Linked DNA regions of Arabidopsis thaliana. The protein of the gene in region 2 interacts with the protein of the main gene of each other region in a pairwise test. Each region holds a gene or a part of one and is shown on either strand. Other genes may lie near its edges. The genes, in order: LSMT-L, IAA6, NPH4 and ARF8.

Evidence for each region.
Region 1: the proteins of IAA6 (region 2) and LSMT-L interact in binary tests that used the Arabidopsis thaliana proteins (3 or more experiments, as listed by UniProt).
Region 3: the proteins of IAA6 (region 2) and NPH4 interact in a two-hybrid assay, tested with the Arabidopsis thaliana proteins (2 studies listed by BioGRID).
Region 4: the proteins of IAA6 (region 2) and ARF8 interact in a two-hybrid assay, tested with the Arabidopsis thaliana proteins (2 studies listed by BioGRID).

Annotation. Positions count from the first base shown.
Region 1 is NC_003070.9:4,804,781-4,809,430, forward strand, and holds LSMT-L (Rubisco methyltransferase family protein), read right to left. Parts: upstream 2,738-4,650; 5' UTR 2,661-2,737; coding exon 2,197-2,660; intron 2,107-2,196; coding exon 2,078-2,106; intron 1,952-2,077; coding exon 1,740-1,951; intron 1,625-1,739; coding exon 1,502-1,624; intron 1,414-1,501; coding exon 1,009-1,413; exon of another isoform or gene 929-1,008; coding exon 713-928; 3' UTR 526-712; downstream 1-525. Other genes in the region: AT1G14020 (O-fucosyltransferase family protein), read left to right, coding at 64-331. UniProt on the Arabidopsis thaliana protein: Protein-lysine methyltransferase methylating chloroplastic fructose 1,6-bisphosphate aldolases. Can also use with low efficiency gamma-tocopherol methyltransferase as substrate, but not a cytosolic aldolase.
Region 2 is NC_003070.9:19,671,949-19,675,665, forward strand, and holds IAA6 (indole-3-acetic acid 6), read right to left. Parts: upstream 1,705-3,717; 5' UTR 1,612-1,704; coding exon 1,212-1,611; intron 1,020-1,211; coding exon 929-1,019; intron 801-928; coding exon 722-800; 3' UTR 528-721; downstream 1-527. UniProt on the Arabidopsis thaliana protein: Aux/IAA proteins are short-lived transcriptional factors that function as repressors of early auxin response genes at low auxin concentrations.
Region 3 is NC_003076.8:7,016,082-7,023,744, forward strand, and holds NPH4 (Transcriptional factor B3 family protein / auxin-responsive factor AUX/IAA-like protein), read right to left. Parts: upstream 6,033-7,663; 5' UTR 5,424-6,032; coding exon 5,378-5,423; intron 5,058-5,377; coding exon 4,945-5,057; intron 4,845-4,944; coding exon 4,749-4,844; intron 4,645-4,748; coding exon 4,588-4,644; intron 4,500-4,587; coding exon 4,344-4,499; intron 4,257-4,343; coding exon 4,172-4,256; intron 4,081-4,171; coding exon 3,990-4,080; intron 3,908-3,989; coding exon 3,740-3,907; intron 3,649-3,739; coding exon 3,453-3,648; intron 3,355-3,452; coding exon 3,216-3,354; intron 3,139-3,215; coding exon 1,160-3,138; intron 1,082-1,159; coding exon 891-1,081; intron 804-890; coding exon 623-803; 3' UTR 389-622; downstream 1-388. Other genes in the region: CPN20 (chaperonin 20), read left to right, coding at 100-273. UniProt on the Arabidopsis thaliana protein: Auxin response factors (ARFs) are transcriptional factors that bind specifically to the DNA sequence 5'-TGTCTC-3' found in the auxin-responsive promoter elements (AuxREs).
Region 4 is NC_003076.8:14,627,426-14,634,966, reverse strand, and holds ARF8 (auxin response factor 8), read right to left. Parts: upstream 5,515-7,541; 5' UTR 4,817-5,514; coding exon 4,774-4,816; intron 4,690-4,773; coding exon 4,580-4,689; intron 4,491-4,579; coding exon 4,392-4,490; exon of another isoform or gene 4,286-4,391; coding exon 4,229-4,285; intron 4,153-4,228; coding exon 3,997-4,152; intron 3,904-3,996; coding exon 3,819-3,903; intron 3,538-3,818; coding exon 3,447-3,537; intron 3,376-3,446; coding exon 3,211-3,375; intron 3,127-3,210; coding exon 3,004-3,126; intron 2,892-3,003; coding exon 2,816-2,891; intron 2,688-2,815; coding exon 2,540-2,687; intron 2,308-2,539; coding exon 1,334-2,307; intron 1,246-1,333; coding exon 1,055-1,245; coding exon of another isoform or gene 1,051-1,054; intron 979-1,050; coding exon 861-978; 3' UTR 513-860; downstream 1-512. Other genes in the region: AT5G37030 (P-loop containing nucleoside triphosphate hydrolases superfamily protein), read left to right, coding at 1-353. UniProt on the Arabidopsis thaliana protein: Auxin response factors (ARFs) are transcriptional factors that bind specifically to the DNA sequence 5'-TGTCTC-3' found in the auxin-responsive promoter elements (AuxREs). Seems to act as transcriptional activator.

The DNA.
Region 1 (4,650 bases), about 15 Mb from region 2:
AGAATAACCAAACCTGTGATTCTATATAACCATTATTGGTCTATATCTGATTTGAATTTGCAGATACCTTGGATATAAGAAGACAATCCTGCTTGACCGTAAGAGACTCGTGGAGCTACTAGACTTACATCACAACAAGACCCTCACGTGGGATCAGTTTGCAGTAGCAGTCAAGGAAGCCCATGAGAGACGAGCAGGAGCACCTACTCATCGAAGAGTAATCTCTGACAAACCTAAGGAGGAAGATTACTTCTACGCAAATCCTCAAGAATGTCTTTGTGAAGGTACAAATTGCCACGACCTGTTTGGCCATAGAAATTTAACACATTGAAGTCATGTTTTTAGCATATTATATCTCATTGCTTCCGCAAGAGGACGGCATGTCAAACACTTGAACGGGAGCTGCATAGTTCCTTCCCTGAGTTTTTCCATTTTTGTTTGTAATTTTTTTCAATTTTCCTGCATAGTTGCTGATCTTGATTTATTTAGTTTTACGTAAATTAAGATGTAACTAAAAAGAAGATTATGTCTCATCTTATAGAATTTCAAAAAGCCTGCTTTTGGCAATAGCCTAACATACAAATTGTGGTCTCTCAACTCTGATGTCTTGAGGTTGATTCAAGTCTATGTGGTCTGAGACCAAACCAGTAAAGATTTTCTTTCTAGCCTTGAGTTTGTTCTGCAGGATAAGCTATACAAGCTAAGCTAATTCTCACTTGGTTTCCCAGAAGATAATATCCCCTTGTTCGCCAACCAACCCAAGATCTTTGAGCCTTCTCTCTTGGTAATACTCTAAAATGTCAAGTTCAAGCTCTCTATCCTTGAAGATTTGGTCGATTTGCTGAAGCACTCTCTTCTCACCAATCCTTATCTTGAGAGCCATTTCCAACCTAGGCTCAAGCTTTCCTTTGTCCAGAAGCTTCTCATCCTACAACAGACGATGAAGACGAGTAAGAAATGAGTGTTAAGCTGCAAAGACAGTACAAGTAAGAGCTCGAACATATATACCTCTTCAATGGTCGTATCAAAACCAGACAGAGCAGATTTGCAGGCATCTCTGACAACACGGCATATGAGTTCCTCGTTTGTACGACTTACAGGCAATTCAAGATGACCCCATATGGTGTTATTGAAGATAGATTCTAATAAGAAAGCATCTGGACCGCCAAGAGCCACAAGCCGAAGGTACTGAAGCATACCAGCGGGAAGAGTCTGGCCGTCTACTATGTCAAAGTATCCGGTCTCACCCATCTTGTTACTCTCAGCAATATCCAACTTATCCCCAAAGAATGGGTCTGATTCTGGTATCTCTATTGTTAAAGTATATGAGTTCCGTTTAGGGTTTGATTCCACAAAACCATAGTCGAGAGCAAGTTCTGCATTGCTTTTGTTCAGATCGTACTGAATGTATACCTATGGAAGAGATCATCCAAACAGTATTAAAGGGCTTGTTCTTACACTCTTGAGGGAGAAAACTAAGTAGACAGTGTTTGGAGCATACCTGCTCACCTGCTTTAACATAAACAGGTGACTTCAAGGAAAATAAGAGATCTCTAGAGAAAAGGCCGGCTCCTTTGATCTCGTATGCATAATCTTCTGTCTTTATCGCGGGGTTATGGTTTATCTGTTCAAATTCAAACATTGAAGTCAGAGATTCTCTGCTGAGCCAAGCATCAATGAATGAAGATTATTTTCTGAAGTTTTCACTAGACAATATCTGAAACAAGAAGATAGCTTGCCAAGTCTGCAAGAGGGATCAAGACAAGGTTTTGGCCACGGAGACGAGAAAAAGCCCTCGACTTGAGGATCCCAAACGCCCATATGAAGTCATCAAGTGTTATGCGGGATGAGAAGAGATCTTTGTTAGGCAGTAATATCTCTTGTTCCAGTTTCAAGAATTCATTCTCCACATACTCTTTCACACCCAATGTGGTGCTCAACAGTTGAGTCCCTGAGCCAAACAACAGTAACCACAAAGTTAATAATGTACATCATCATCAGCTACTGCTACTCAGACCAATTGGTATGAATCTAAACAATGATCAGACTTTTCAAAGAAAAGGGTAAGAAAATGGACCTTTAAGCTCAGCAAGCTCCTCTTCTGACCTGTACTGGAGACATTTCACGAAGAAGACATCTCATCAGCTTAGTGTTGATCAGAGATACAATTGATGATCAGAGAAGGACAAAACCCACCAGAAGACAGTAGAATCAGTAGATTGAGGAAGCATATCAAGATAAACTCTCCATGAAGACTCTTCTTCATACTTCTCTCTGATCAAAAACAGAGCTACTGAAACCCACGGCTTTAATCCGCCGCATAAAGGTCCAATCTTGGAAGCAGTCACTGTCTCTGGGTTTATCCACAATCGCTTGGGAATCTCCAATACGACCTCGTTTCTTCCAATATCACGCCTGGCTACAAGTCCCAAACCTTCCGGTACCACCGCAGGTTCTGCCACAGACTTCCCGGATACGACTCCTTGGTCTCTGAGCCATTTCCAGAAATTCCGAACATTTTCCGGCAACTCTGAGCTTGAAGCTGAAATGGGTCTCACCAAAGATTTCTTGGGTCGAGAAAAGAGAAAGGAAGGGTTTTGAGACTTTTGAATTGACGGGATACGGAGAAAACCCGACACGACGGCGACGGAGGCTGACATGGTGGTTTTCCGATGGCGGGTAGTATCAGTGAAACAGAGAGTGTGTGGATAACAATAATATCACATCAGTTTTTTCTAAGTTGTTGATGAGACAAAAATCTAGTTATTCTAGTTACCAATGTTAAAGGCCCATTATTCTAAAAGGCCAAGGCCTACATTTTATTTTTGTTCTGATGTAATTAAATTGTTAATTGTCTGTATTTATTTTCATTTTTAAAAAATTATCTTTTTAACTTATGGTAGCTTCAACTTCTTTTTCTTTTTTTTTTTTGTCATCTCAACCTTTGTAAGAAGAAAAATGGTCAACTATAGCTTCAACCTCAAATCTACTGACTTGACACTTGAGTTTTAAATAGGTAACATCTCATGGAGATCCCAATATTCATTCTAAATTCCTCCAAGATAATGCAACATGTTACAACAACAACAACAACAACAACAACAACAACAACAACAACAACAACAACAACAAAAGAGATTGGCCGAGACATATATGTAGTATGTACCCACCATATCACACATACCTTCATAATCATCATCATCATCATAATATCAAGTGGTCTAATTCAAATGTTTTTGATTTAATTATGTGTTTAAGTAGTTCATATTTAATTGTGTGCTAAAATACTTATTGTAATTGAAGAATCAAATATACAAGTCTTATTCACTATTCTTAATCAAATAGAAATTAGTCTTAAATTTGTAATTTAGGGGGTACAATGATCCACTATTCTCCATCAACGTAGAAGACAAGTAATTTACTTTGTAATATAGGTAATGGTACGTACGTAGTAATCACATGTAAAAGCGGAACTTTCCTTTCTCTTGTTTTGCCGGCTTGACCACGGGATATGAGACCAGTAAGGTACATGTGTAATGTGATACCTATCAGAAACCCTATTACACTCTTATCAAAAAACAAAACAAAACCTATTACACTCTCTCGGCTTAATTAAGATTATGATCAATTCCAAATATGTTTCTGATATAACTTTAATTATTAACGAGAAAACCAAAGTTTATTGCTACTTTTTTCCGTCGAAATGGCCGCTATTTTAAGTTTTAGACAATAACTTGGTCCATGAAATTAAGGTACAACGTCGATATTGATTAAGATCAGTTTACTTTTGCTAATATAACGTGTTAAGTTTGAGATGGGAGACACGTGAATGACTTTTCATTACTTTCAAAAATTGTTCAAAATTCCAAAATTGGCAACAAGACTGTTTTAGTTGTTAATATGCAATTAGACTGTTTCAATAGAGTGTATTTTTCTTTGTCAAAATGTAATAAGTACTAATTTGTCATACAAAATATCAAATGTCAAGAACATAAACTCTTCTAACGGAACCGCTTGTCGCGCCGAAACTCGTGTGGTAAACCTGAAAAACAACTCACTAATCGCAATTTTAAATCAGAGACTGAGAAAACACTTCTCACGAAAACCACAAAACGCGGTCAATATCGGGATGACGACATGATGTGGTGGTCGGATTGACACAATTCAGGTTGGTCAACAAAATTCATCCCTCTAAAATATATTTTCTTAGTTCGTTGCCAAACAGATATCTTACCTTTACTCTTTTTTTTTTTTTTTTAAAAACTCATATAAATAGGATAGTTATTAAATTTAACTACAAATGGTATTGTATATGTATATTCTATGGCTAGGTGAAAAGGCTTCCTTTAGTTCGAGAAGGTCAAAATGGATGGCTAATTAACTTTTATATACAAACAGTATATGCCTAACATTTAATAAGGAGAGACTCAGATTCCTTGTCAACTACTCACTATTGTCTCCATGACTCTTTAAAAAATATATTTTTATAGAATCTTAGTATTCAGAAATTAAACCGTAGCCTTTATAGGATAACAAATGTAGATGATGTTAAATATGAAAATTGGCTCCACAACTGTCCATGAGGCATAAATAACTCGAAAACTTAATTAGTTTGATCTTACAGATAACTAATTTTTTGTCACATTTATT
Region 2 (3,717 bases):
ATATATATAGACTTCAAATCTGCTACCTGCAAACTGATATGATCATTTAATACGGAAGATATGGCAACATTTATTTGGACCGACAAAGTGGTTAGAATCTTCACCCAAAACTACATTTGATATGATATAGGAATAAGCCAGCTTTAATTTGGCTCTTGGTGAAAGAAAAAAACAAATATTTAACATTTTTCATTCTTTCTTAAATTAGTTGGGAAGATTCATTAGGTTTTCACTATTTTTAGCTCCGTTTAAGATTCATAGGTTTCCACTATCTTTGGATCGGCGATAAAAAGATGATTTAGCCGGAGGATTTATAAAGTTATAATAATCACGTACCACTTGATTTTTAAGAGAAAATAATAGTAAGTCTAGAAAACTACTAAAGCAAACTATTGTGAGGCATTACTTTGTTGTTATGGTTTTTTTGTAGTTGATTACCCTCGTTTCCTTTTGTACTTTTGTGAACAATTTCAAGTGTTATATTTCATATGAATCATTCAGACGAAAAAAAAAAGTATTGTGAGGCTAAGAAACACCTTTAATGAGCCATAAAACATTAAAGTATGATACGACCAGTAAGGAAATACATTTGAAGAAAACGTATATATCATCATTATCATATAAATTTTACAATTTGAAAAATGATTATAATGAAAAAAAATTACTCAACGGTTTTCAAACTTTATGGTTAATTAAAGATGATCAACACTAGCTAGTATGATTAATCTTGCTGGAGACCAAAACCAGTTGCATCTGATCTCTTCACGATCCTCAGCCTCTTGCATGATTCTTTAAACATCCTGCCGACAAAAAAAATTTACAATTTAAAAAATAAAATTACAAATTTTTGACTTGTAAGAGGTTAATTATATTCATTTTGGTAAATTTGATAATTGAGCATTGTAATGCAAGCTAAACATAAACTTACTGCCAAGGTACATCTCCGACGAGCATCCAGTCTCTATCCTTGTCTTCGTATATAATAATGTATTCACACTTCTTACCCTCCTTCGCCACTCCTGCATAGTTTATATATACATGTGTTATATTTCATAAAGTTCCAACTAATATATGTGTTTTACTCTCTTCACACTTCCAATATATATAGAAACCCTAACAATACGTATATATAAAGTTTATAGCTCAATTATAAACATGGTCATGTAACTATTAACTAACGTTACGGGAAATTAGTCCATGCCATTACTAACCTATGCCAAGACAGCCGAAGAGATTCTCAAGAACCGTGACTAGATTAATATAACTGTTGCTCGAACCAAGGTCAATCTTCCTCATGTATGGCACACCATCCATGCTCACTTTCACGTAGCCTATAGCTTTCGATGCTTCCTCATTGTTCTTCTTTCTCCTGTAAGAACACACAGGTGGCCATCCCACCGCTTGACTCTTCACAACCGGCAGTGATTCATCTTCAACTGATGAAACGACGCTGTTTTCATTCTCAGTATCTAACGCTGATGAGGTCATCATATCCGAGAGCACCCTCTTCTTCTTCTTACTCGATCCGCATACTGATATTTCGCTATAATTATCTCCTGGAAGACCCAATCGAAGCTCTGTGATCTCGAGTGCTAGACCTTCCTTTGCCATTTATTTCTTCTCTTTTTTCTTTTTGTTTAAATTTGGCTATATGAAGTTTTGATACTTTTTTTTTCTCTCAAGCACTTCTCTTGTTGGAATGATAGTATTGAGCTGCCTCGTGCTTTTATATGTTGTCAAGTTGCTCCAACAAGATCCAATAATATACTGACACATGGAAGAGACTAACATTCATAATTATTTCTGTTAGCTTTGTGGAGGAAGACAAGGTTAGACCAAAGACAGGTCAACTGAGGATGTGTTGGTCGGTCACATGAGAGACATATGTTGGGTCCTTGTTCTTCATTTTTGTTTATATAGGATTTGTTTTAAGAGAACAAATCTTACCGGTGTTAATATTTGTTAGGTTTCTTATAAGATTTATCATTGGCCATCTTTCCTAAACATTACATGTGTTATCCTTAATAATATACAATTATGTATTCTAAGGATACTGTATTAGTATTATTTCTTAGCCTATTCTTGCTCACATTTTTATTTGGTAGTTGAATACAAATTGTACATACAGGTACATCAAGAATCACATAATGTAGATTTGAGAATCAATGAAGAAAAAAACCCTCACATCAAGGATTGGAATTAGAATTAAGGAAGTTGAGTGGGAAATAACATGTAATCAATAGGACACGTCTATCATCGGACTATCACTAATGTTTTTTTTTTTCTTCTTTAATTTACTTTATTTGTGGCTATTATTTTTCCTATTTTAAATATCTTAATGCTTAATATTTGTTCACATTTCTAAAAAATAACGGCTGGATTTTGTGATAGAATGAATAGATGCATTTAGCTTTAAATTCGTTACTTAGTGACCTAAGTTAGTTACAAAATATAACACAAATAATCTGAATAGGTAAGAGTAATCTGGTTCTTTAGTCTACTACTCTACTCTATAAACAATCTTTTGCATCGATCATATTCAAATCTGGATTTTGCAATATAATATACAGCTAGATATTTGAGGGAAGAAAATGAAAAAACGTGTACGTGAGTTGGTTCTTGAATGAAGAAGAACAAGAAGTTGGTCCATGTGACATAATATGAACCATAACAATTAGGCAGACGCGTTAATTTCACTTCATATCAAACAACATTGGTCGTCCCAAGTGTTAAGTGTCTTTCACCAATGTTTCCATGCATTTATGATTTATGTCCCATTAATTCTTCTATATAGTGTATTAATATTTAATCTCGGATACTTTAGTAATACGTATCTGCCAAAAATCATTTGGTATACTTTTCCACGTGATTCATAGAGAAGAACGACCAAATAAAAATAAGATGTCAAGTATGTTCCTACATCGCGTAGCTAAATGATGAAACCGCATGAACTTTGATTTGAATATTTATTTTTGGGTCATATACTAATTCTGATCAAATAAATAACACGCAACTTGGAATAAATTTATGTATATAAATGTAATCAGAACCAACAGAATATATATCTAGTTCGAAATCATGAAGGCAACTATAAAATTCAGTATTTACAAGTGTGATGATAATGAAAGTGTAATTGTATGAATCTCCGTGAATGGAGAGTTATGTATTGAACATATATATAGGGTTACATGAGATAAGCATAAATCTGTTCCTAAGATATTAGATATATACAAATATAAGATTCTCATATATATAATCTAACAGAAAGACAGAGATCATAAGAAGAAGAAAAAAGAATGATTCAGTTTGATATTTTTATATATTTCATATTTTAGAGAAGAAAAAAAATGTGTTTTAAACTAGATAATGTTTTCAACTTTCAATGTAAATTTTTTTAATTGTTTTCACGATTTAAGTTCTGTAGGTTGTTTTATTATTTGTTGAATCGTATTTAGGTACATAATAAATGATTTTTAGTTTAAAAAATAAATAAAAATAAATGATTAATTAATTTGTGTGCAAAACATTTAAACATCTAGTATCAAAGACGGAAGAAGTATTTAAGTTGGAGTTGATAAACCTTATAAACTTCCAAATACCACTACAAGAAAACAAGCGATTTGCGAGGACAATTTGCGATGGAAACAATCCCTCGCAAATTGCTACAGATTTGCGAGACATTTGCGAGGGAGAGAAGACACGTCGCTTTTCCGTCGC
Region 3 (7,663 bases), on a different chromosome or scaffold from region 2:
TCCATTCGGGGAATCTGATACTTTCTTAGTAGCTTGATGTGATAGTCAGTTCATACACAAGTTCCAATTATACATATTCTCCTCTTCATTTTATGGCAGGTGATAGCAGTTGGACCGGGTTCCCTAGACGAGGAAGGTAAAATTACGCCTCTACCAGTATCAACCGGAAGCACAGTACTTTACTCCAAGTATGCTGGTAACGACTTCAAGGGCAAAGATGGTTCCAACTACATTGCCCTCAGAGCTTCAGATGTGATGGCTATACTTTCTTAGTTATGTTATATCTTTGTAATCTGCAACTTGTATCCCAATTGTGGAAATTTTTTCCGTAAACGGCCTGAGCATAATCTGGAATAAAGACTTGAGTTTGAAAATGTGATTTTATTGCTGATTTCATGTTTTTCCTTCTCTTTTTGGTTACAAGCGGTTTCAGTTGATCAGTTAAACTTGGTAGAAACAGTGACTCACAGCAAATAAAATCTCCGTGTAAACTTAGTGGAAGATATTTTACAGGTAAATGCTCTACAGTGCCCAGTGGAAACTTGAGACATGTTATCAACGAGAAGTTATATTACAAAACGAAGAAAAAAGAATCTTTGTCTGTGAGAGAACTCTTCTGCCATCACCGGTTAAACGAAGTGGCTGAGTTATCATCATAATGACCTCTCCAAGCATTGCCACTGTCACCGCCACTACAAGCTTGATTAGTAACTGGTACACCGGCAAAGTTCCCGTCTAAGCTCATCTGCTGAACCTCAGCTGATGAAAGGATCTTAATGCTCTGAACACAGTTTACGAATTCTCTGCAAAAATCACGATTTTAAAGGTTAGCAAAAAAATAATGGAACTTCTAACAGTCTGATGTGTGAATGTAATTGCTCTCTACTTACTCCCATGGATCATCGCCGACGAGGAGGATGTCATTTTCATGATCGACATAAACAAGTTTCCAGTCAGATGTTTGAGGATCTTCGAGCTGTCCTTCGATCCCAAACATGCGCGCTAGATCATGCCTCAGCTCATCGTAACCTCTGTAACGGTTGACGTCTATTGATCTCCCCACTGAGCCTCGTTTTTGCACCTGTAGGAAAATTTAACATTTGTCAAACCGAAAACATAACCCAAATATCAACAAGCATAGATCAGAGCACAATCGAACCTTTGTATAAGTTCGCATTCGCTGAGTCTGAGCTGGCCACAATCCACCACCAAGAACTCCAGCATCGTTGACAGCTAGATCGTTCGAAATGGCGGGCACATTGGGGACACCAAAAGATTGAGTTCTTACAGCTGAAGTAGACATCTCTGTACCAATGTCATTTGTCACTCCTCCATAGTTTGAAAGCATGTTCTGAAGATCTTTCTGGGAGTCATATCCCCTCGAGAGTAGCGTGTCAGGCACAAAGCCATTATCAACATTAGCTCCACCGAGCAAGCTGTTCCTGGAATCACCGTCAAGGCCAAAAGTTGGAGCCAAGAAATTTTGTTGTCTGTTGTTTTCGCCTCCATCTAAACCGTAAGAAGTTCCAGAGGCAGATGCTTCTAGTTGATGATCTGTTAAACTAGCTTTGGACTTTTGCTGACCCACGAGTTCTTGTTTTAGCCGCATATCGGATTTGCTGTAAAGATCCTGAACAAGATTACCAGACATATCAATCGCTGCATCAGGTATCAAGATCGCTGGCCCGCTTTGGCTTCTGTTGAGAAAGCCTGAAGAAGAGATCTGACAGTTGTTGGTGGAAGGCGACGTTGAAGAGGAAGGTGCATCTCCTCCATCTGTGATGCCTGAATAAGCTTTGACCCCTCCCCCAACCGGTGGGTTTTGTTTTTCCTGAGGTCGGCTCACCAGCATTTGAGGTGGTTGCAACGTCGATAAGCCATTGTTAGTGCAAGATGACGGAAACTGATGACCTTGAGAGAGAGTAGGCAGCTGTTGCAACTGCTGGCTTTGCAATTGATGGTGTGGTAACTGAGACTGCGGCGAAAGAAATTGCTGCTGCTGTTGCTGTTGTAATCTCTGTAACAGCTGAAACTGTATATGCGGCTGTTCCAAGAGACTCTGCTGGAATATCTGTTGGGCCTGTGCCTGGTGAGCTTTCTGCTGCAAAAGTGTTTGCTGATTCTGCCCGTTGAGACCAGGAGGCTGCTGCTGTTCTACTTGTCGTGAAAACTGTGTCTCTTGCGGCGGTGCGGACATCAGATTGGATGAAGACTTGCTGGTTTCAATTACACTACTCTGGCTAGTGCTAGCACCTAAATGGTGATGTGCTTGTTGAAGTTGCTTAGACTGTTGTTGTTGCTGTTGAAAGCTTTGATTAAGGGAGCTGGACGGAGGCGTGATGACACTGCTTGCCATTGATCCCGAAACTAATTGTGGTTGCAAATGATGTGTAGATGCTTGTTGCGACTGATGCTGCTGCGCTGCTTGTTGACCATTGTAAAGCTGATTCTGTGGAACCTGAAGTTGCTGCAACTTATGTTGTTGTAACTGTTGTGGCTGTGGATGCGAGTGAGATTGCAATGGCTGTGTTCTTAGCTGCTGCTGCTGAGTCTGTTGCTGTAACGGTTGTTGATGTTGTTGCTGCAGTTGTTGTTGTTGTTGCTGCTGGAGCAATTGTTGTTGTTGCTGAGACTGCGATTGATTGTTGTTGCTGTGTTGTTGAGACTGCAATTGTTGTTGCTGCTGCAGCAACTGTTGTTGTTGTTGCTGTTGTTGAGACTGCGATTGCTGTTGTTGATGGTTCAAAGAGGAGTGCAACAATTGCTGCAGCTGCTGTTGTTGGGACAACGTAGTTGGTGGCTGAGGCAACTGAGACATTGGGGCTTGCTGATTCTGTTTGTTAAATTGGAGATTTGAGGAGGAAATCCCCCCGTGCGGCGTCTGAAAGCTCAGTAACTTGGAGGGATCATCAGTGCCGCCAAGATTGTTGTGCAGCGCCGCGGTTGGCGAAAGCATTGATGGGAAGAAACCTGGCTGTGCAGCAGCAGAGGGTAGCTGGCCGTTCTGCTGCTGCATATTCATCCACTGAACTAAACTCAGACCAGGAAAGATAGTACTCGAAGGGTCTTTCATCTCTAAGCTATTATCAAGCCATGGCATTGCTCTCTTCAGTGCAGACTCCATGTCAGTCTCATCATCTGCAAGAGCACCGGAAATTCCGTCCTTGAGGAGATTCAAAGAAGTTGTGTCGAAATGAAATGGTACAAAAATTTACCTGGCATTCCAGGTTGTCCAGAAAAGCGAGGTCGGAAAAATGGAGGAGGACATATGTAGAAAGGAGTTAAAACCGGTTCAATGTCCCAAACTGAAACTCGACTGGGCCTATCACCAGCAGCTGACTCATCCCATCCAATCTTTAGCAGAAACAGAAACAAAGCATAACTAAAATGAATGGTGCAATGTATCAAGAAAGACAAATCTGACATTCATCATGAGTTTTACTTCAAACTACCTGAAGATTCCGCCACTGAGAGTTTTTCCATCTCACTGGATCAAGATCACTGATACCGGTAACTGTACCCATATACCGACGAACTCCACATTCTTCAGTCTCAAATATCATTCTAAACCGCATACCGAGGGAAACTTGAGCGTACATCGCTTTGGTATACTTGGCTAAAGGAACCACAAACTCAGCAGGAGCAGCCCTGAAAAAACTCGGTTGTAAATCTCTCAGCAATTGCCATGAAACAAGCATATATAGTAAGGTTAACGTAGACAAAAGGAAACATAGATCGCCACCTCGGGTTGTAGAAAATGGTGAAAGGACTGTTATTAGCATTAGCATGAGCTGCAGCTGCAAGAACTCCGATGTGCATGCTATCACTTGATATTACAGATGAAGAAAGTGCAGGCTGTTGTCTATTTGCACGTCTTATCCCCAACAGAAGTTGCGCCTTTCCATCTCTTAATTGAAAGAAAAAAAGAATTAGCATCTTGACAAAAAAAAATACCGAAAGAGAGCATTGGCACATTGAGATTGATATACCTTATAAAAAGAACAGAGTCTCCAGCAAAGAGCCTTTTCGTGCTGACAAACACACTCCAGCCTGTAGTTAGCAAGTGCCTTTTTGGTTGACCTGATAAATGTCAACATATCCAAAACGTAAGAACAATTCTACGAAAGCCAAATTGATTAAAGAAGGTAATCTACCAAAAACAAGGTAAAACCTCGATAAATATGTCTGAAAGTCCATGTGTTGTCATGAATATCCTTAGCAACAAGCTCCTGACAAGGTGGTTGCATCGAGAAATCCTAGTAAAATATTGCCAACAATGTAAGAAACTAAGGCAATACAGAGATACTAACTATCAGATGTATAAGAAAGTATTGTATATACACCAGAGCAGGAAAGATTTTCTCAGCAGCTCGTCGGGGTACAGAAAATCCACCGTGAGTACTTGTGTCACTCGCCGTGAGGGTTTTGCAGAAAAATTCATTAGGTTGTCTGTTTAGCTTAAGACCCATGTCAGAAGCAAGCAATGCATCTCTGTCATACTGTTCAACAAAATGCTCAGAGCAATTAGTCCCTCCCTACTCCTTAAATACACCTATAAATCGAGTTATTCAGTGAAAGGTAAGCTACTTTGTTTACTGGCTGAAGAGTCATCTGCGCATAGACCTCATCCGTCTCAGGATCAGCCTGGTTCACAGTCGACAATTAGCAAAACATTAGCAACTCAAAAGCAAAAAATGTTAAAACAACTAGCCTAAGAGGCCATTATAGATATTTAAAAGATACCATACATTCAGTGTAACATTGTGGAGCATGCATATGAGCTTGGAAGGAAGATTCGGGTAACTTGGTATGAAATCAGTCTGCTTCTGCATTGAAGCCGCGACCTAAGAAACAGAAAAATAAATAGCAACCACATGAAATTTCCAATCAGCGACTCATTCTTGATCAGCCGCGAATGATACCAAACTTTATTGAACAACATACTTGCTCACTGTGACCTTGAGGGAAGTAAACAACAAGACTTCCTGCTGGAGGCAACGAAATCAATGGCCCAGCACAAGCGTGCCATAGCTCTGAGTTTATATTTCTCCTTTCTCCTGCATTCACACAACATCAAAGCTGTGATTACTTAAAATCTCTAGGATCTTCATTCAGTTACTATTATCAAACCAACAAGATAGGAGAGAACTGCTCTAAACCAACTAAAAGCCACAGTCTTTATAAACCAATACAATAGTAACTTAGCTTACTCTCTAAGCAGAAAATGACCGAAACCAATTCAATTCAGGTTCTCAAATCCAGCAATTCTGAAGAAATGTGTGACCTCTTCTACTTAAAACTTGAATCTATTCAAATCCAGCAATGAATTTCTTCTACTAAAGGATTGACATTTATCAGATACGAGAAACACACAAACCTTCAACAGGATTAGGAGAAACTCCATTTGATGAAGGAGCTTTCATGATCACTCAACTTTACTTTCTCTGAAGAATAAACCCAATAAATAATCTGAATCTGAGCTTATACAAAGCTAAGCTCTTTGCGTGAGAGCTTCATCAAAAGCCCTAAACTTTCACTCAAGTTGTTAATAGCTTCCTAGCTCAAGTAACAGCAGAGAGAATCGTTAATCAGAAATGGGGAACTCCAAGATCTCAGCTTTTTATCTCCGACAGAGCCGCCAATTTCTCGGAAATTTTAAGTATCTCAAAGAGATCAAAAACCACGACTTTTCACACGCGGAATCTCCGGAGAGACAAACAAAGCATACGACCTTAAAAAAGATTCCGTTTTTAACGAAGCTCTTTATCTCGAGTCAGATAATTCAAAAACACCCACAAAGTTACTTGATTCAGCTGCTCTTCTTTGTTTTGCTTTCCTTTCTTGGGGGGAATCAAATCAAAGAGACGGGTTTCTATAAAAAGAAATCTGGAAAATGAATCGAAAGAGAAAAACAAAACTTAAGGATGACCAAGGACAATCGAAGATTAAGACTCAAACGTGAGAGAAAGAGCAACAGAGTTGTCGGAAAGGGATGATCAGCGACCAGGACAACTACCAAAAGGTCTGCTAAAGCACAGGAACAGCTTTTTCTTCTTCCTCTCCTTTTTTTTTCCTTCTCTTTTCTTTTTCCGATATTTTTATTTTTTTATACCTATTTAGTTATGCTCATGAAGCCGACATATTCACTAGCAAACTGGCCACGATTTAATTTCTTAATGTTATTATTGTCCTCTAAAATTTTAACTTTGACACACAAAAAAACAACTTTATTAGTGTTTTCTTTTTCCTTATCTCTGATAATTTGATAAGTTTTTTTCATTAAGGTTATTATTACTGTATCATTTATTGTAATACTTGATTAGGGATAACATAGATTTATAGGGGATGTATTGAAAAAAACAAACTAAGCTGACTAGCTAGTTATTTGATCAAAGTGCGTACATATATGTTTGGCAATTTCTTTTGTAGTTAACTATATTTAATTCAGATAGATTTTAGGATTCATAATTCATCAAAAAATTTTATGATTTTCATTATTTTGAACAAAAGCATTTTACTAGAAATTTTGTGGAGTTTTACATGGTTGGTTCTGAGTTTCATAAACTAGCGTTCATGTTTTAAACGAGAATGGAACTTAAATGTTTAGTAATGAGTTCTATAATAACAAACAAATCTAAATTCGCTTAGATCATCATTATAAACAATTGATCTTATTTTGTTGTAAATGTTGATTAATTGATCAAATCTAAGTACATACAGCATATGCGATCACAAAGAACAATATTTTAACGGACGATTTCATATCAAAAATGATAGAAGTTCTCTCTTTGTTCATGATTCTTTATTGGTTTCTTATATTAATTAACCTAAACTTTTGTCTTTTGGAAGAAGTGTTATAATGTCACACAAAATAAAATTACATATGATGATCACAACTTACACTCTTTTCCCAGTACAGCCATCATTCAAAATTTTCCTCTATAATCGTTAAAATGTCTACCCAAAAAAAAACGGTGATATATATTCCTAAACATATTGGAAAACCGAATATAACCATAAATATGTCATTGTACAAACTACAATCTATTTGGTTTAAGGCCACATAACAAGTTTTATCTACCAAAGACTGAACCTCCATATTCATCACAGACCATTGTAAAATGCATGTAAACCCTTTGAATGACCCCACATCAAAAAAGAAAGTTACAAAACAGTAACCTCTTTGTTAGTTTAGGTTCGATCCAAAACTTATTTGGCAGGAATGCTTAAAATTCTATATACTTACAACTTTAAGTGAAGGTAATATATATGTATGGAATGAATGGATGTCAATTCAAATAAGTGGCAGTGAGTAGCGACATGATGTCCCTGAGCAATAAATGCGTGAAGACAGAAGTTTGGAGATTGGATGAATGTAAGAAGGCCTTTTGAAGTTATGGATTTCGACGCCTAGCTTTTTTTTTTCTTTTTTTTTTGTGAAACTTTGAGGCCTAGCTAACGTTTAAAAAAAGAAAAAGAAAAATGTTAATAGTTTTCTTATTACAAAGTGACCGAAATTTAGTATGAACTCCGAACTACGACTTCATGCATGTATTAAAGTTGGAATGAAAGGAAGAAGAGCGTGACGCATTTCAGAACCGGTTGTGTGTCCGTATGGTGTCCGCAGTGGAAAGTGGAAAATGAACAAGATGAATAACTCATA
Region 4 (7,541 bases), on a different chromosome or scaffold from region 2:
GAGCAATCCAAGAGAGAATCAGAGATAAGTACAGTTCCTTATCAGGTGAGCTTTTCACTGTGAATGTTCGGTCTGTAGATGGGTTTCAAGGTGGTGAAGAAGACATTATCATCATCTCTACCGTTAGAAGTAATAGTAACGGGAAGGTTGGATTTCTCAGTAACCGTCAAAGAGCCAATGTGGCACTCACTCGAGCTAGGCACTGTTTATGGGTGATTGGAAATGAGTCAACACTGGCTCGGAGTGGTTCGATTTGGGCAAACCTTATAAGTGACTCGAAGAGACGTAAATGCTTCTATGATGCTAAAGATGATAAGAGATTGAGAGATGCCATGAATGCTGTCCAAGGTTGATAAGTCTGATGTGTGTGCACGTTTAAGTACTCTTTGGGTCAAAAAGAAAGGGAGAAAATGAGTTGTTGGTACTTCATCTATGTCATTCTTCAACCTAAGTTACTAGTAGAAGCTTTTGGTAACATTTTGTGATTAATGGTTGTGTTTTAAAGATTTGGTTGGTTTTGGTTTCACACCTTATGGAATCTAATTGGTCTGACCAAACTGAATGTCTAACAATGTTGTTACAAAAATAGAATAAGAATAAATACTAGAAAAGTTTAGTTACCCTGAGACAGCTACATAAAGGTTCTTATGTTTATGACGAGAGTGTCTGTCTAATACAAGCTAAAGTACGTCCTAAAGTTTCAGGACCCATACTCACAAATATGATTATGTTTCTTTCTAAAAACGTCAAAACGAGAGAGATGCGAACGAATGGCATATAAAGATGAGTGGAAACGACTTCAAATGGGAAACAAAGGGCTCCCGCGTTGTAGCATGATGAGACTAACACCGAAGCAGCTTCTAGAGATGGGTCGGGTTTTGCGGGAATAACCCACCACTGCCTTCTCCATGATCTCCCATTTGATGCACATCTTCTGGTGATAGTATCTTTATGTACCAAACGTTATTCACAAATGACCTGCAGAACAAGCTTTTAAAGATCTATCTCAAATCTAAAGCAATGTATACAAATAGAAGAAGAGTACTTTACTTACTCCCATGGGTCATCACCAAGGAGAAGAATATCATTTTCCTTGTCAACGAATACAAGCTGCCAGCCTGATCTAAGGGGGTCTTCCAACAACCCTTCGATAGCAAACATCTTCCCTAACTCTTCTCGCAGCTCGTGGTAGCTGCTGAATCGGGAGATGTCTAATGAACGCCCAACCGAACCAGATTTATAAACCTGCAGTTTTGGATTTGTAAGCATATCAGTATTTTCTTAGAGACAGTAGAGCCACAGAGAAGTCGGTGAGCCTAGAACAAACCAGCACCTTTACAAAGTTCTTGGTTTGGTTGGACGAGTTAATCTGTCCAGCTCCATGCAATAACTCATGAGTTGTGTCTTGCATGCAGCTATATAAGGAATTCTGAAATCCTGAATCTGTTAGTGACATAGGGGAAGCTTCAGCATCTCCTGATGAAGAAGCAAAGCGGGGAACCGTACTGGGGAGGAAGAGTCCAGAGTCGGGATCAACACCGAAAAGAGAGGGATTCTGCGGATTTCCGGGTTCTAGAGCAAGACTCTTCCCAGGATAGGCTTGTGGAAGTGACAACGGTTCAGAAAAAGTGTTGGATGCTTTTGGAGACCAGCCCTCTGTTGTTAACTGCTCAGGGAGTACAGACTGACCGGTTATAGAAAAATTCAAAAGATTGCCATCTCCAGAAGCCGGACTAGCAGTTGTTGCAAATTTGTTGCTTGAGTCAGTAAAATCTGACTTCATGAACGAGGGAGATGGCATCTCTGATTGCTGCTGCCACTGTTGAAGATGGCCATTTTGCATTTTGAAAGCATTAAGATATGCATTTTGGTCCGGTTGCTGTAGCTGTTGCTGCTGTCCAGCTGGTTGGTTACTAACTTCTTGTCGCATATTCTGCTGCGGAAGATTCTCACTCATAATCTGTGTTTGAGCATGCATGAGATGGCGTGACGCTTGTTGCTGCTGTTGCTGCTGAAGCATCAAATCAGAATTATGGGAAGCTGATTGTTGAAGATATTGGTGGTGAGGCTCTTGCAGCTGTACAAACTGCTGTCTTAAAGGATCTCCACCGCCGATGTTCTGCAACCCAGCAGCTAACATTGCTTGGTATTGCTGATTATTATCAGTCCCCATTTGACTGAGATCCAGCCTTTGTTGCATCCATGGAAACAAACCAACAGATGGATAATTTAGAGGAAGCAAACCTTGCTGCTCTCCACCTCCCCCTCTTAGCCATGTTAGACCACTTCCCAAATCACCCCTTCCATCTGTAACATCATAATGTTTTGAGTAAATAGCTATGGAGAGTACCTACACACTTCTTTGTAAATAAATTATAACAGTAAGACCCTCTTCAGAGCTCTACTCAATCGAACATTTGTTATTTATCCGAAGTAGCAACTAAGTTACAATAGCAGAAACACTGAGTGACAGTAAGAGACTTCACGAACGTACTATACTAGTTAATAACAGTTAGGAGAAGAGCCAAAAGGTGGATACCAGGCAAAGATGATGTGCCAGCATGCCATGGACGTTTTAGTCTGAGAGGAAAAAGAGATGGATACATAGGAAAGGTAGTCAGAGGCTCAATCTCCCATAAAGAAACCCTTGGCTGTCTCTCCCCTGCAGTCGATTCATCCCAACCAACCTACACCAATAATGCCACAGTTCATCAATGTTGATGGAATTTCAGAGTAATATTGGACTAAATCATCAGAAAGCTGTGTGACGTTCCATGGAATTTAAATAAGGTAACAGGCTTAATAGTGTTGTTACCTTCACAGATCGCCAATGAGAGTTTGGCCAACGAACAGAATCTAGATCACTAATACCAGTTATAGTACCCATGTACCTGGAAAGTTCCCCATGCCACTGTCAGAAAACATGTTAAAGTAATATGTGTAACATAATGATATAGTTTTCTCAGTTTCAAGATTGCATTTCCAGATATGTGGCATCATCACCTGCGGACACTCGACTCTTCTGTCTCGAAGAGCATGCGAAAGCGCATCCCAACTGAAATACGCGTGTGAAAAACGGCTTTAATGTACTTGGAAAGTTGTATCACAAACTCAGATTGGCTAGCCCTGAACATGAAGAGAATATTAGTAGGATATATTATCGGATATACCGAGAGATGAAAAAGATGCAGGTGGGAGAGATTTTTCAACCTTGGATGAAAGAAAACAGTGAAACAGCTATTAGTTGCAGAAGCATGTGCAGCAGCAGCAAGGAGTCCAATATGCATGCTATCACTAGATAAAACAGATGATGGTACAATAGTCTGCGGCCGAGTGGCATGACGAATTCCCAAAAAGAGTTGATTCTTTTCATTCCTGGAAACAAGTAATAGTGTTACAAATATAATCACAATCCACAAACTGAACGTACAACAAAAGAACTAAACCTGATGAAAATGACAGAATCTCCAGCTACTAGTCGCTTGGCACTGACAAAGACACTCCATCCAGTAGTTAGGAGATGCCGTTTGGGCTGTCCTGCATAATCACACCAAAACCATGTAAGTTATTCCTAACAAACCAAGAAGAAGGATTCAAATCAACTTAACTTCATATGAACAAGTAAATAATTCCACGTTATAATAGACAACGACAAGAACACAGAGCCTCCGTGGTTTCTTCAACTAAACCACACATGAGTAGTGAAAATAACAGCAGATGCTGCTTCAGACATACTTAACAGCCAATTGAAATTTTTACACTGGCGACTACAGTTAAAAAGGGATCATCAACGCACACCGAGGAAAGGTGAAACCTACCCCGAAAGATATGCCTAAACTTCCATTCAACATCATGGAGATCCCTTGCAATCAGTTCTTGAGCTGGTGGCTGCAGTGTGTAATCCTGCAACAGGGAAGACACAAGATATTAAAAGGAATACATATATTTTCTCAACAACAATTTATAGCAAAGTAAGTAAAAGAAAAAGTATAATACCAATGGAGGAAACACTTTCTCAGCAGCACGTCTAGGAACAGAAAACCCTCCATGTGTACTGGTATCACTAGCTGTGAGAGTCTTACAAAAATAATTACTAGGTTGCTTACTCGGTATCCCCAACTCAATCGGTACAAATGTTTCCTTCTGCTCCTCCTATAAACAACACCAATCCTAAAGCTTAAGTTATTAATTCACAGACTCAAAAACCTGTTATGTATAATGTATCTACCGGTGTCAATGGTTGAAGTGTCATTTGAGCATAGACTTCATCCGTCTCAACATCTGCCTGAAATAGTAGAAACGAAACCCATACTTACAAAGCACATCATCCCAAAACTAGTTTACAAAAGTAAAAATTGAATATGGAAAGGGACAGGGAACTAACTACGCACATGCATTGTAACATTATGGAGCTGGCATATCAATTGTGGTGGTAGGCTTGGGTAATTGGGTATGTGACCATCAACTTCCTTATTAGTTGTAGCAGCTACCTACAAGTACACTTCTATTTAAATGGAAATGCCCAAATATAACACAAGTCTAAAAATAAAGCTCCATACTTTTAAACAACAACCCAAACCTGTTCACTGTGACCCTGTGGAAAGTAAACAACTCGACTACCAGATGATGGAAGAGAGACTAATGGTCCAGCACAAGCATGCCATAGCTCAGAATTCAGACACTTCTCTCCTGTTAGAACAAACACAGACACAAGAACTAAGAAAACACTTGTCCAGAAACAGAACTAAGAAAATCAGAGAGTAAACAAGTCACCTTCATGACCCTGTTGACCCAATCCAGATGTTGACAGCTTCATGTCTAATTCAACTTCAAGAAACCAAACTTTGAAAACCCTAATTTTTCCGTACAATCTATTAAAAAATCTTCTTCACTTCCAGCTACTACAGTAGCTATAACTCTTTAGCTCCGGAAGTACAAACTCGTCTTTCTCCATCTCCTTTGTTCAAACCCCCAAAAATCTCACTCACAACCATAAGACTCAGTGAAAGCTTCGAATCAAAAAACCATCCATAAAACCCTTAAACACAAGAAACAGAACAAACCCCATTTCTTCAAAACCAGAATCTGTTTCTTCTCATCATCAAACCATGAACAACAACACAAGCTCTCTACTACAAGTACGCATTGAAGCAACCCCAACAGAAAAAAAAAAACTCTTGTCTTTGAGATCTTTGTGGATGAAAAAATGAAAGAAACAAGACAAAAGAACAAATCTTTCTTCTTCAACAACTTGACTTCTCTCGTGGGTAAAAAATTAAATCTCTTGAAGCAGTTCCATCACTGTCCAAGAGAGACACTTTGGCTTTCAAAAACAGAAGAGAGAGAGAGAAAGAAATGGTTAGTGAGAGAAAAAGATATGTGTCAGAGAGAGAAAAGAAGAGTGCGTGGGGGTGAAAGAGAGAGAGAAAAGAAGAAGAAAGTGAGTAAGTGGTTTTCCTCCTCTTATAAGAGACCCGACCCGACTCCACCCGACCCGGATTTGACCCGGATCCGATACAGTGGAGAGAAGGAAGAAGAAGAGAGGTCCTACTAACGAGAATTATGAGAGGTGGTGTCAGTACCAGAGTCACTTCTTTTTGACCGTTGGATTTGACTCTTGAGATCTTGATCGTTGAAAAATAATAATTGTTTTTTTTGAGGTCTTGGATTCGATGAAAAGGACAATGAATTATAGTATTTGAAGTGAGAGAGTGAGAGAGAGATAATAGAGTTGTCATAAATGTTAGCGTTGTTTATTTTAAATACTTTTTATTTTTGCTCCATTCATTGATGAAAGAAACACCAAATACTCCCATAATTTGATTTATTTAAAGATAATTTATAGTAGTATTTAATTTAATAACTCAAAAAATATTTTGTTGGATCTTTTATGAGTTCGTTGAAAAAATGGTCAAAGGTTTATCTATTGATAAGTGATGTATTATTAGATTCGCAAATCTAAGTTCTAATTTAGAAACAATCATTAGCAAATAGATGCCCGATAATCCAACATCTTATGGATACCACTATTTTACTTACCAAAAGAGAAAACTAATACACATGGATCTTGTTTGAATAATTTTTAAAAAATTTGGGATATGGAGTGTATCACTTGGAGAAGCTGGATTTGGAATAATCTTTGCAAGTTAAGACCCTTAACTAGGTTTTTCATCGTTTGTGAAATTGGTTCAGAAATAACTTGTAATTTCTGGACTGATAATTGGATTTTTTTGGGACCATATTTGTCGAGCTAACCTGAAGATTTATGACTAAGAATTTCTCTTCTCCCTCGTTCTGTTGTGGTTGCGGATGCATTGAGAAAGAGACAATAGTGGCTTACAAATTCTCGAAGTCGCAGTCCCATTATTCAGTTGCTTAAAGAATGTCTTCCTTCCTATTCTACTGTTAACTTACAAGAGGATGTAGAGGATGATGTTTACCTTTGGAAGGTGATGATATCCATGCATCAAATATTTTCTCTGCTGCTAAAACTTAGGCACATTAATATTCAAAAAAAAACTTATGCACATCTTCATCCTCCTGACACAAAGATGGATCGGTTTGAATCTGTGTGATTTCCAGGAAGGATTCTTAAGCATGCTTTCATTGCTTGGCTAAAGTCTCATCATAGACTTCTCACTAGAGACAAAATGATTCGATGGGGCATGACTACTCCTTCGTCGTGTCTTCTCTGTAATTTGATGGATGAATCTCGCTAACATTTATTCTTCGACTGCTCTTATGTTGCAAAGGTATGACACTATTTCTATGATAAAGCCCATCTTTCTCCTCTAAATCAATTTGAGGATGAAGTTAGATGGTTGAAGAATCCTTGTCGTGACAAGAAAACTACTTTGATTCTTCGAATTGCCTATCAAGCCTCACTGTACTCCATATGGAAAAAAGCGCAATGCAAGATTGCATAATTCATCCTCAAAGCCAGCCTCAGTTCTCATTATTTATCATTAACATTCTTCAATGTCATCTAGACCCTTGTTGGATAGCTCAACGGATCATTCATCTGGTTTGGTGTCTTTCAATAAATTTATTGTAATACTTTTGTTATCTCATTTATTTCGATTGTAGGTTCAATTTTCCTTGGTGTAACTTTTCCACTTCTATTATATGAAAGATATGTTTTTTGAATAAAAAAAACTGCTAAATGGAAGTTTCCTTCGTTCTATCGATGGTAATATCGTGCGATACGTCGCAATCATTTATATAACTCAACGATTGATTTTTTAAAACAACATGATGTCAAATTATATGGGCTCATCATCATGGGCACAAAACAAATACTATTACATGAAATTAAATTTAAAATTAAGATTACTATAATTTCAATATATTTTAAATTTATCAATTAATTATTTTCAGTGGACATAAATATGCATATTTACTCATCAATAATACAATAAAACATCTATAAATTGATAATGTTAGTACCATGCTATTTTATTAATGTATACTGATATTAACTTATAAAGATTTTATTCAATTGTTTAAATTTTATGAAAAATGAACTAAGACAATTTTATCTA